Linked DNA regions of Daphnia pulex. The protein of the gene in region 2 binds, or shares a complex with, the protein of the main gene of each other region. Links are inferred from orthologs where the notes say so. Each region holds a gene or a part of one and is shown on either strand. Other genes may lie near its edges.

What was found.
Region 1: exosome complex component RRP40-like (region 2) and exosome complex component RRP46-like share a complex: the UniProt entries of both Homo sapiens proteins name them as parts of the RNA exosome core complex. The link is inferred for Daphnia pulex from reciprocal best matches to the Homo sapiens genes EXOSC3 and EXOSC5.
Region 3: exosome complex component RRP40-like (region 2) and exosome complex component RRP4-like share a complex: the UniProt entries of both Homo sapiens proteins name them as parts of the RNA exosome core complex. The link is inferred for Daphnia pulex from reciprocal best matches to the Homo sapiens genes EXOSC3 and EXOSC2.

What each region holds. Positions count from the first base shown.
Region 1 is NC_060020.1:3,912,843-3,915,863, reverse strand, and holds exosome complex component RRP46-like, read right to left. Parts: upstream 1,798-3,021; 5' UTR 1,649-1,797; coding exon 1,561-1,648; intron 1,472-1,560; coding exon 1,358-1,471; intron 1,297-1,357; coding exon 1,175-1,296; intron 1,109-1,174; coding exon 968-1,108; intron 886-967; coding exon 694-885; 3' UTR 660-693; downstream 1-659. Other genes in the region: serine/threonine-protein kinase D1-like, read left to right, coding at 2,708-2,839. UniProt on the Homo sapiens protein: Non-catalytic component of the RNA exosome complex which has 3'->5' exoribonuclease activity and participates in a multitude of cellular RNA processing and degradation events.
Region 2 is NC_060019.1:5,882,335-5,885,369, reverse strand, and holds the end of exosome complex component RRP40-like, read left to right. Parts: intron 1-10; 5' UTR 11-1,513; coding exon 1,514-1,726; intron 1,727-1,795; coding exon 1,796-1,945; intron 1,946-2,003; coding exon 2,004-2,155; intron 2,156-2,217; coding exon 2,218-2,431; 3' UTR 2,432-2,479; downstream 2,480-3,035. Other genes in the region: uncharacterized oxidoreductase ZK1290.5-like, read right to left, coding at 2,515-2,673, 2,739-2,909, 2,984-3,035. UniProt on the Homo sapiens protein: Non-catalytic component of the RNA exosome complex which has 3'->5' exoribonuclease activity and participates in a multitude of cellular RNA processing and degradation events.
Region 3 is NC_060023.1:8,701,315-8,704,762, reverse strand, and holds exosome complex component RRP4-like, read left to right. Parts: upstream 1-1,521; 5' UTR 1,522-1,635; coding exon 1,636-1,754; intron 1,755-1,814; coding exon 1,815-2,052; intron 2,053-2,112; coding exon 2,113-2,247; intron 2,248-2,305; coding exon 2,306-2,476; intron 2,477-2,541; coding exon 2,542-2,676; intron 2,677-2,738; coding exon 2,739-2,819; 3' UTR 2,820-2,852; downstream 2,853-3,448. Other genes in the region: CDP-diacylglycerol--glycerol-3-phosphate 3-phosphatidyltransferase, mitochondrial-like, read right to left, coding at 50-955, 1,020-1,283. UniProt on the Homo sapiens protein: Non-catalytic component of the RNA exosome complex which has 3'->5' exoribonuclease activity and participates in a multitude of cellular RNA processing and degradation events.

The DNA.
Region 1 (3,021 bases), on a different chromosome or scaffold from region 2:
GTTCTGACCAATTTAGATTCTTTTGTCTAATAATGGACACCACACACAAGATAACGTTTACTTAGCCACAATCATGATTACGATTGCTACTGAAATGGAACAATCGGAAAATAACTCGAAACTGGAATCAGGTGATACATGACTTAAATTTAGAATTGCTTTATTTGTGTTGACTTTGACTTGACAGCCTAATTGGCTAAACTTTCTAATTGAGAAAAACATTTCAAGGCCTATTACCGTAAAGGCTGAAATCGCACTCGATATATCCAGACCACCTTGAAATAAATTTTCAGAATAACCATAAAAGAAATTCCTTTATGCTACATTTTCCGACCGAATAAATCCTAAAAATGGTAGAACTACCTACCATATGTCATTCTAAGAAGAGTTTGTTTCAAAGTTAAGTTTATTTTTTTTCTGATTTCACAATCGGCACTTTTACTATACCTAAATAACTTGTGTCAAAATTGTACCGCATTGCATTGGAGCCAAGCTCCGGGCAGGAAACCTTCTAGATATAGTTTTGGTGAACGTGATTACTCGAGTATTGCTAGATGCGCATGACATATTAGGATGGATTGGTTTTCCGAAGAAATTTAACGATACTGGAAATAAGCAAGCCTATACTTATACAATTATACTTTGTTTTCAGTCGCATATACAAAACTTTAAAATGTGTATTTTTTGAAAGTTTTACAGAAGTTCGTTGGAAAACTTTCGTAGTACTGCTTGCCGGTAGAAATCAAAGATGACGTGACTGGCTTTCTGACACAGCTCCATGGCTTTTTGAAAAAGTTGATAGGGAACTTGGCCTTCACAGTGGCTCAGAATTAAGTTGTATTTTTGACTGTCAAAAGCAAAGGTAAACATTGCTTTATAACCTTCCTGTAATGGGGAAAAAAGTAAGTTAGGCACAACAACAAAAAATGGGGGAAAAAAATTAGTTAATTCTTAGTGGAAATCATACTTTGACTGTGCTGATGCATGGGTCTAGGACAATTCTATCCTTCTTGTCTACCAAACAAGTCACTGCAGCTACAAGACACTGCAGGGGTAAACCCGAGTCAAGAAGTGCAAGGCACACAGCATTGATGGAGGCTGCTAGCAACTAGTTTATGGAAAATGTGAACAACTAATTCTTGATCAAAATAAATTTGTTGTGGTAAGTGCTTACAGTTCCACCATCTTGCATTTCTTGAACTGTTATGCAGACAGCTGTTCGAGGGTGCAGGTTCGTCAAAATAATGTGATTACAAGTGGTCTTGATGAGTTTCTCCTTTCCACGCTCAGCAACACCTAAATAAAAATGCATTCAATATTACAGAAATAATAATACACAGGATAAGTTATTAATAACCTGGCATTCCTGTTTTTGGCTTGTAGTTTAGTTCAATGTACATTCTATCGGACAGTTCCTTTTGAATTTTAGCCTCCAAAGGTCCATAAACTGAAGCCATTACCACAGTATTCCCTGAAATGACAAGTCAATAAAATAAAATTTACCGACTTGGACAAAATAACACGAAAACAGCGTGGAAAAAGTTACAAATCTAAACTTACCTTGAGAAAACATCACCGAGCCATCTGCACGTGACAGTACGCTTTGTTCGCACTTTAAAGCACGAATGCTATTCTCTTCAGTCTCCATGGCGAATAATAATATTGCAAGCAATTCTTTGTGATTGAAAAAGTATTCAATAATTCAGATTAAGAACGCAGCCCTGTTTCTGCATAAGCAACGTGATCGTAAAAAATACATGGGGTTGACGGGTCGGCAACAGCAGTCTGCAGATGTCTCTAAGTTACCATGGCAACCATTTACTTAATCACACAAAATATAACTTTTAACTCCATGAATTTAAAACAACTATTATATTTGTAATAAAGAAGACCTGAAAAATTCACAATTTTCCAATGTAGCTATGAATATGTATTTTTCATGGATTTCGTTCGTTCAGTCACGAGAGAATGGCAACGCTGTTTTTGGCCAGAAAATTGTGAGCAAGCCAAAGACGGATCTCCGAGTAGCGACAGTATTTATTAGCTCGGCAGACTACCAAGTTATCGTGACTTGAGCTGCACGGTCAGAAACACACACACACACGTACGTGAGTCTGTTTCTGCATTTCTCGAGAGAACGTAAAGTGTGCTAGTGTGTGTGTGTGTGTGTGTGATGTTTATACGTGAATTTTTTGTGTGTGCCATCATGATTGGGAAACCTGCGTATTAATTGAATTTAGTTTGGGCATTTCCATTAGCCAGTCCCTCTTATTCGCACCGACTTTTTTCATCACCAACGTGTTATCACGCGTTGTGCTGCTCCCATCTGTGTTGGTTTTAAAACAGTCGTGTTGCTCAGTTTTGTCGTGCAATCAAGTGGAGGTAAAAACCCAACCTTTTTTCTTTGAAGAAGAAAGAAAAGGAAAAATCTAAGTGGTGCCAGGGCGGGAGAACGACGAAAGAAAAGGTGATCTCAGCCCGAGGCTATGTGACATTCCAATCAACCTGTTGGTTGCTGGAACCCGTTTTTTTTTTTTTTTTACTCCATTGCTCCCACCTGATTGCACACACACACACCAACCACACAGACTATTCCAACGAAAAAGGGCCAGTTTTGTGTGTGTGCGAATTTCACTGCCATCCAAAAGTCAAACTTCGCCATAATTGTGATTGTGTTTTTCATAAAATTTTGGATCCAAGCTCCATCATGGATGATGGTAATGGTCAGGTGACCTTTATGTTCCAAGTTGGACTGGTACGAGACTTTATCTCCACGGATGCCTCCCAGTTAACGCTGAAAACGCTCAAAGATTTGGCCTGCAACTTTATTAATCAACGGGTAAGTGTTTTTGAACATTACACGCCGATCCAATTACCTCCACGTCCATGCATCACTATACACCTGACAACGCCTTTATTGTAGTAACCAGAGAGCTTTTTTGTTTTGATTATATTACGTCATCACTGTCGTTGCTTAAGTGTGTTTGCCGTGTATATTTTTGCCTTTTAAGTTGCTAAGCT
Region 2 (3,035 bases):
CCATTTATAGGTGATAAACAGTTTTTGTGCACTCAGTGTGATAAGACATTTACGCAAGTTGCAAATATGAAGCGGGATATGCTGACTCACACATCAGAAAGCAAAGAACAACTTTATCCCGGTCCTTTTTGTGGTGTTGACTGTTGAGTTAGCATCGAAGAGCGACGTCCGAATCCATGTGGCCAAAGAACACGAGCAAAAGAATAAGAGTCAGCAGCCCAATACCACCGGATCTTCAGTAGCAGAATAAAATCCTGATTGAGAAGCTAACAATGAGTTCATAACTATTTACGCGGAGGAGGAAAAATCTATCAAGACTAAAATTGAAGGCGCAGAAACTACGTTTCTGTGGAAAAACTTTCCCCGTGCACGCTAGCCTTGAAGAGCACGTCAGGACATACACCTTAATGCATCTTTCAAAGATTTCCAGTGCGCAACGTGCGGGAAAACGTTCTGTCAAGCATCCTCTCTCAAGCTCTACCAGCACTTTTATTGGGGAATCAAACTACACACTTTCAACGTTTACCAAGCAAGTTTCCGAAAAATCAACCATCCTCCATTGAGCGGTATAATATGTGTTCTATTGTATACCAATCTTAACTGTGGTGAGTTATAAGTTTTATCGGGATTCCCCCACAAATAGTAATTATAGTTTGTTTAACAGACTTTCGGCTCAGTATTAATTTGGAAATGCTATAATAAATCATTAAGCAATTTAGCAGATAAAATGTAGCCTATCAATACCACTATTAACGGCATTGCTATTTTACATAAAATATTTTGCATCTTTCGATGTGAAATTTAGTTGTTTTCTTTTCCTTGCTTGATGAAAGTGATGCATCATTCTACGAACGGCACAGAGCACATTGTTTTTAAAATAAAGTAATGCCACCAGTGAGTAAGCACTAAGCAGGAGAGTAGGAAATGTCAAGTTCCGGGGATTTTTTTCCGATGAAAATAATATCGTTTCTCCTTTCTCTGGTTTTGTATGAAGGTAAAGATGTAAATGAATTTATTTTACTTTCAAAAACTGTTAACTTTAATTTTACTGATGAGAAAAATGAAGCTTATTATTGAGAATATTTTTATAGTATTTTTGATCTGTGATCAAATGGTCAGATGACCCAGATAACACTAATTAATTACATGTTAATTATGTACGATAATCTCGACTTTTATTAAAATTTCCTGGGAATCTGGGATTGATAGCATTTAACACTGATAATTATAATTAAAAAGCTATAATTTAAAATTCCGTTAATAAATGTTCGGCTGTTAAAAGCGCAAATAAAAACTGTGTATTAAATCAGAGTGAACTGACAAGTTTTTAATAGCATTGTTCAGCAACAAAAATTGCATATTTGATATTTCAAATGTAAAAGAAAAATTTGTCGTGTAATTTTGGATAACCATAAATCGCCCTTTGGTCAACTGCGCCCGCAGCCCGCAACGGGTAATTCATGGTTTTGTTTTTTTCCGCCAGACGGATGTTGTTTATTAAATTTTTAGAAAAATGGCGGAAAAATCGTTTTCAACCCACGTGAATCAGATTTATCTTCCTGGTGATTCGGTTACGCTCTCAAAGACAGATGAAATCTCTACTGTCAAGATTGTACTCGGGCCAGGATTGAGAAAGTATGGAAAACAGATTCTAGTTACCAAACCTGGCGTTTTACGTACAAAAGCCTCGCCGGCCACGTATTGGATAGATTGTCACCACAAACGAGTAATTTTTCACAAACTTTAGACTATTTAATTCATGTAAATCGATTCATTCACATTCTTATTATAATAGTATGTTCCAGCCAGAGGTGATGATGTCATTGGTGTGGTTACCAATAAAGTTGGAGAGTCCTACAAAGTTAACATTGGATCCAGCGAAGAAGCCTCACTCTCAAGCATTGCATTTCCTGGAGCCACCAAAAAGAATAAACCCAACATTCAAGTATTTTGATGACTGCTTTGCATTTGTGACATTGTTCTTATGTGAATTATACACACAGATTGGAGACTTGGTATTTGCCAAGTTGCTCATAGCGAGCATTGACATGGAGCCAGAGCTTGTGTGTGTCAATTCCTTAGGTGAGAATGTCGGTCTTGGTGTCTTGTCTACAAGTGGATTCCTTTTCACTGTGCCCTTACACCACATTCGCAAGTGAGTTTACATGTTTTTAAAATTAATATTATGAAGAATATTTATGACCTTAACATTTCTAGGCTCTTAAATCCAGAGTGCACACTGCTGAAATCACTGGGGAAAGCACTGTCTTTTGAAATTGCTGTTGGGATGAATGGGAAGATATGGCTAAAGGCTAAGTCTGTCAAACAAACAATTGCTCTAGCAAGGGCCATTAGCATTTCTGAACATATGAATAAAGAAGAAATGAACAAACTATGTAGAAAATTTGTAGATCGACAAGCTGGATTCTGATTCTCTCGTGATAAGTGTCAATCAATACAAAAATTTTCCAATTTCAAATGTTGAATAGTAAAAGTTCTATGGAAGAGGGAACTTCACACAGGCACATACTGAAGGTGTGCAGGCAATTTGTATCCGTCAGGTTTGTTGTCGTCAATTTTTCCTTGAAGTTCAGCAGGATCCACAGCCCTCAAACTCATTGGGATGGTATCCAGTTCTGCCATTTCTTCTGGACTCAATTCAAAGTCAAAGACCTATAAGTAACGTTGTCACCGATAATTATTAGCCCTGTGTGAAATTCCACGTAGAGATTTCTCACCTGACAATTTTCTTTAATTCTTTCCTTTTTTATGGACTTTGGTATGGTGACTACTCCGTTTTGAATGGACCACCGGATTAGGACCTGCGCGGGAGATCTGCCAGATGACTGGGCTACTTTTTCCACGGGAGGCTCCTTCAATATCATCCCGTTGGCTAGTGGACAATAGCCCTTGAATAGCAGTATACGGGTTTTACTCTGGCGATCATTGAAATGGACGGATTGGCAGCCATGTGAGTACAAACCTGGAATTCTATGTTATTTTCTCTGCAGAACGCCCTCAGTTCTTTCGGATTC
Region 3 (3,448 bases), on a different chromosome or scaffold from region 2:
AATCAAATTAAATGGGAGAACGTTTGTTTGAATGGTGATAGGGGCTTACCAGAGGATGTGCCATGAGAATGTGAACATTTGGCTGGGACGCTTCTAGCAAACTATCCATATAGTCCTGAGTCAGGTTGAAGTACCCGGTTGCTAGACATAATTCGGCGTTTGCCGGTACGTTTTCTAGAATCTCGCGCGTCAAGATGTTATCCATGTAAATGTTTAGCTGCCCCATCTGGACGAAAGGGAAGATCCAGGTGTCGTAAGCAGACGGATTCGGCCATTGAAATATCGAGGACGAAACATTTGCTTTTATTTGCTTTTCAAACAAGTTGTTGATTCTCCGTTTTGCTTCTTCTGTAAATTCAAGCCGATTGGATTCAAACGGATGGTGAGGAAAAGCGGAATTCAAGTTAAGGCAGTTGTTTTCACTTAAATGAAATGAAAACTGGCACACAGTTTCTACTAGTTGGTCAAAGAAATCCACTAAATCTTTGCAATCTTCCATAATTATGTATCGATCTTGCCGATTTGTGAAGTAATCGTGGCTTAAATTTGCGCCACTGATTAATAAGGAATCGTCAAATATGTAAATCTTCATATGTTGCAAGCCAATAATTTCATTCCATCTTTCTGGGAGAATTTTCTTTAATAATCCTCTAAGTGCTGGAGTGTGATAAAAATGGACTGAACACTGCTGGCTGTAGGACTGAACTAAGGGAAGCAGCATTGTACGGGAATTGAATTGGGCACCTCTAGAGCCTCTTGTTGCATCCAACAGAATTCGAACTTTCAGGCTGGAGCCAGAGTTTTTCTTCAAAGTACTTTCAATTGTTTTTACAAGCTCATTTTCATGATTTCCTGTTCCAAGATATAAGGATGCAAAAGTGACTCTTTGACTTGCTTGACTAGTCTTTTCAATAAGTGTTTTGTAGAAATCTTCAGGATCAGACAAAACTCGAACCTAAGAAAAAATTTTACAACTATTACTAGAAGACACTAATAAAATACCTTATTAGAACACTAACCTTATTTCCGTTCACAGGGAAACAAGGGGTTTTACTTCCGAGCCATCTGAAATTTTCAAGGGTCGTTAACAGTTCCGTTCTCTGCTGTTCATCACTGTCGGGTTCCATTTCGGGACGATGCTGGAGATGAAGTGATCTCGAGACAAGGTTACGTTGCCAACCTCTGCGAGCAGTCTTGGGAAGGAAGTGCCAAGATACTCGTTGTCGCCCAGCAACGCATATCGTTGTTGAAAAAAGTATTGCTTTTTGGCAAATTAGTGACATTTACTTGTACGGACGAATGAAATGAATCGGCATATAAACAAACAGACATCTGATGGCAAAAATTAATACTAATGTGATTCGCGCAATGTTTTATTTGATTCGTTAAAAAAATTTCAGTTGACTTTATATTTTCCATTTCGAACATAAGTTAATTAGTCGATTTAAATTGCACAATATCATTTTGACAAGAATATCCACAAATATTTATATTCTTAAATATTTTGATATCGCCATAGCTTAGGCAACGTAGCAGCATGGTATAGCAGAACACGATGAATTATTGTCATTTTCAAGTGTGCTGTTGTTTCCTTTTTTTTGAACTTGATACATTAGGATAATTAAAACCAAAAGAATGGTAGACATTCGCCTTGCTTCTGAAGTGCCTCCTTTTCATATCGTCGCTGATTCTACTGAACCCAAACATCTTGTCACACCTGGCTCTTTGATCACAAAGGAAACAGGATTCATGAGGTAGATTGTTAAAAGTTTTGCCATTTTCTTGATGATAATCTTATTTTATGTTTTGCTAAGGGGTCATGGAACATACATGCAAGATGACTGTTTGTACTCCAGTGTTGCTGGAGTTGTGGAGAGAGTCAACCAACTTATTTCAGTTAGACCCTTGAAATCTCGTTATCATGGGGAGATTGGAGATGTCGTAATTGGTAGGGTTACTGAGGTTTCACAGAAACGTTGGAAACTGGACACCAATGCAAGATTAGATTCAGTGCTTCTTCTTCAGTCAGTCAATTTGCCTGGTGGTGAACTCGTAAGAAAGACTTTTTATTTGTGCAATTACACAAATATTTATATCTCATAATGCTTTTAGAGAAGAAGATCAGCAGAAGATGAATTAGCCATGAGGCAATACCTGAAAGAAGGAGATTTGGTCAGTGCAGAGGTTCAAAACATCTTCAATGATGGAGCTCTTTCTTTACACACCCGCAGCATGAAATATGGAAAAGTATAACAATAAGTTATTTAAAATATTAACTGTAATAACAACCATTTATCTGTTATAGCTTTCCCAAGGTTGCCTAATAAAAGTTAGTCCATCTTTGATCCGAAGACAGAAGACTCATTTCCACAACTTGCCTTGCGGAGCAAGTATCATTATGGGTAACAATGGATTTGTTTGGATCTGCCCTACGCTCCTTGACGATGGCGCCGGTGGATTTGTTCAAAACTTGGAGGTGCGTACTAAAAAGTCGATGTTTGTACATTATCACGTGGAAGCTAATTCTGTTGAAACCTATAGACAGTTCCGCATGCCGATCGACAAGCTATAAGCCGGTTAAGGAATTGTGTGACAGCTTTGGCGCACTGCAAGATGATGATCTATGATACCAGCATTATGCATGCCTACGAAGCCTCCGTAAATGCTGGGCTTGAGGTAATTATTTTTACATTGAAACTAAATAATTCAATGCTAACTTATATAATGCTTTTATGTAGATCAAGGATCTTCTCCTACCGGACAAGATAAAAGAAATCGCTTTAATGGTTCGTAAGCAGTTCGAAATGGAAAAAGAATAATTTAATTTTCGAATAAACATGGCTCAGGCTGAACCAGAAGTTGACATTCGATTTCCCAAACATTAATGGTGTGGATCAGTTTATTCATACTGCAGACAAAGTTTTATTCTGGGGCAGGGAAAAACATAAACGAAGAAACATTCGATAATAAAGGCGGTTTTTTTTTGTTTCCAACTACAACCGGTTTCCCAAGAATATTAAAATTTTGTAGACTTCATTTATAAGTCATCCCCCCCACAAATCATATTTACATTAAAACAAGTGTGCTAGAGAAAACCAGGATAAGATCTGCCGTAAGCACCACTCAACAAAATGCCCTGGGCTAGTTTTGAAACACCTAAAAAGATTATATAGGATAATAAATTACTAATGGACCCCGTTCCCTAGGTCCACCAAGGAAGGAAAAAAAAAAGATTTAACCGGAAGTCATGTTAAAGCGCTGCTTTAACAAATCAAGCAAATAATAATTAACAAAAAAAAAAAATAATGATAAATAGAAACAATGAATATCTAGCGAAATTCCGTGACGACGAATGGATAACGATTATGTTTAGGAGGGCTTCACGATTGGAAAATGTCCCGTGTTTTTAGATATTAGGATTCCACCTTGATTAGATGGGTTTGTAATC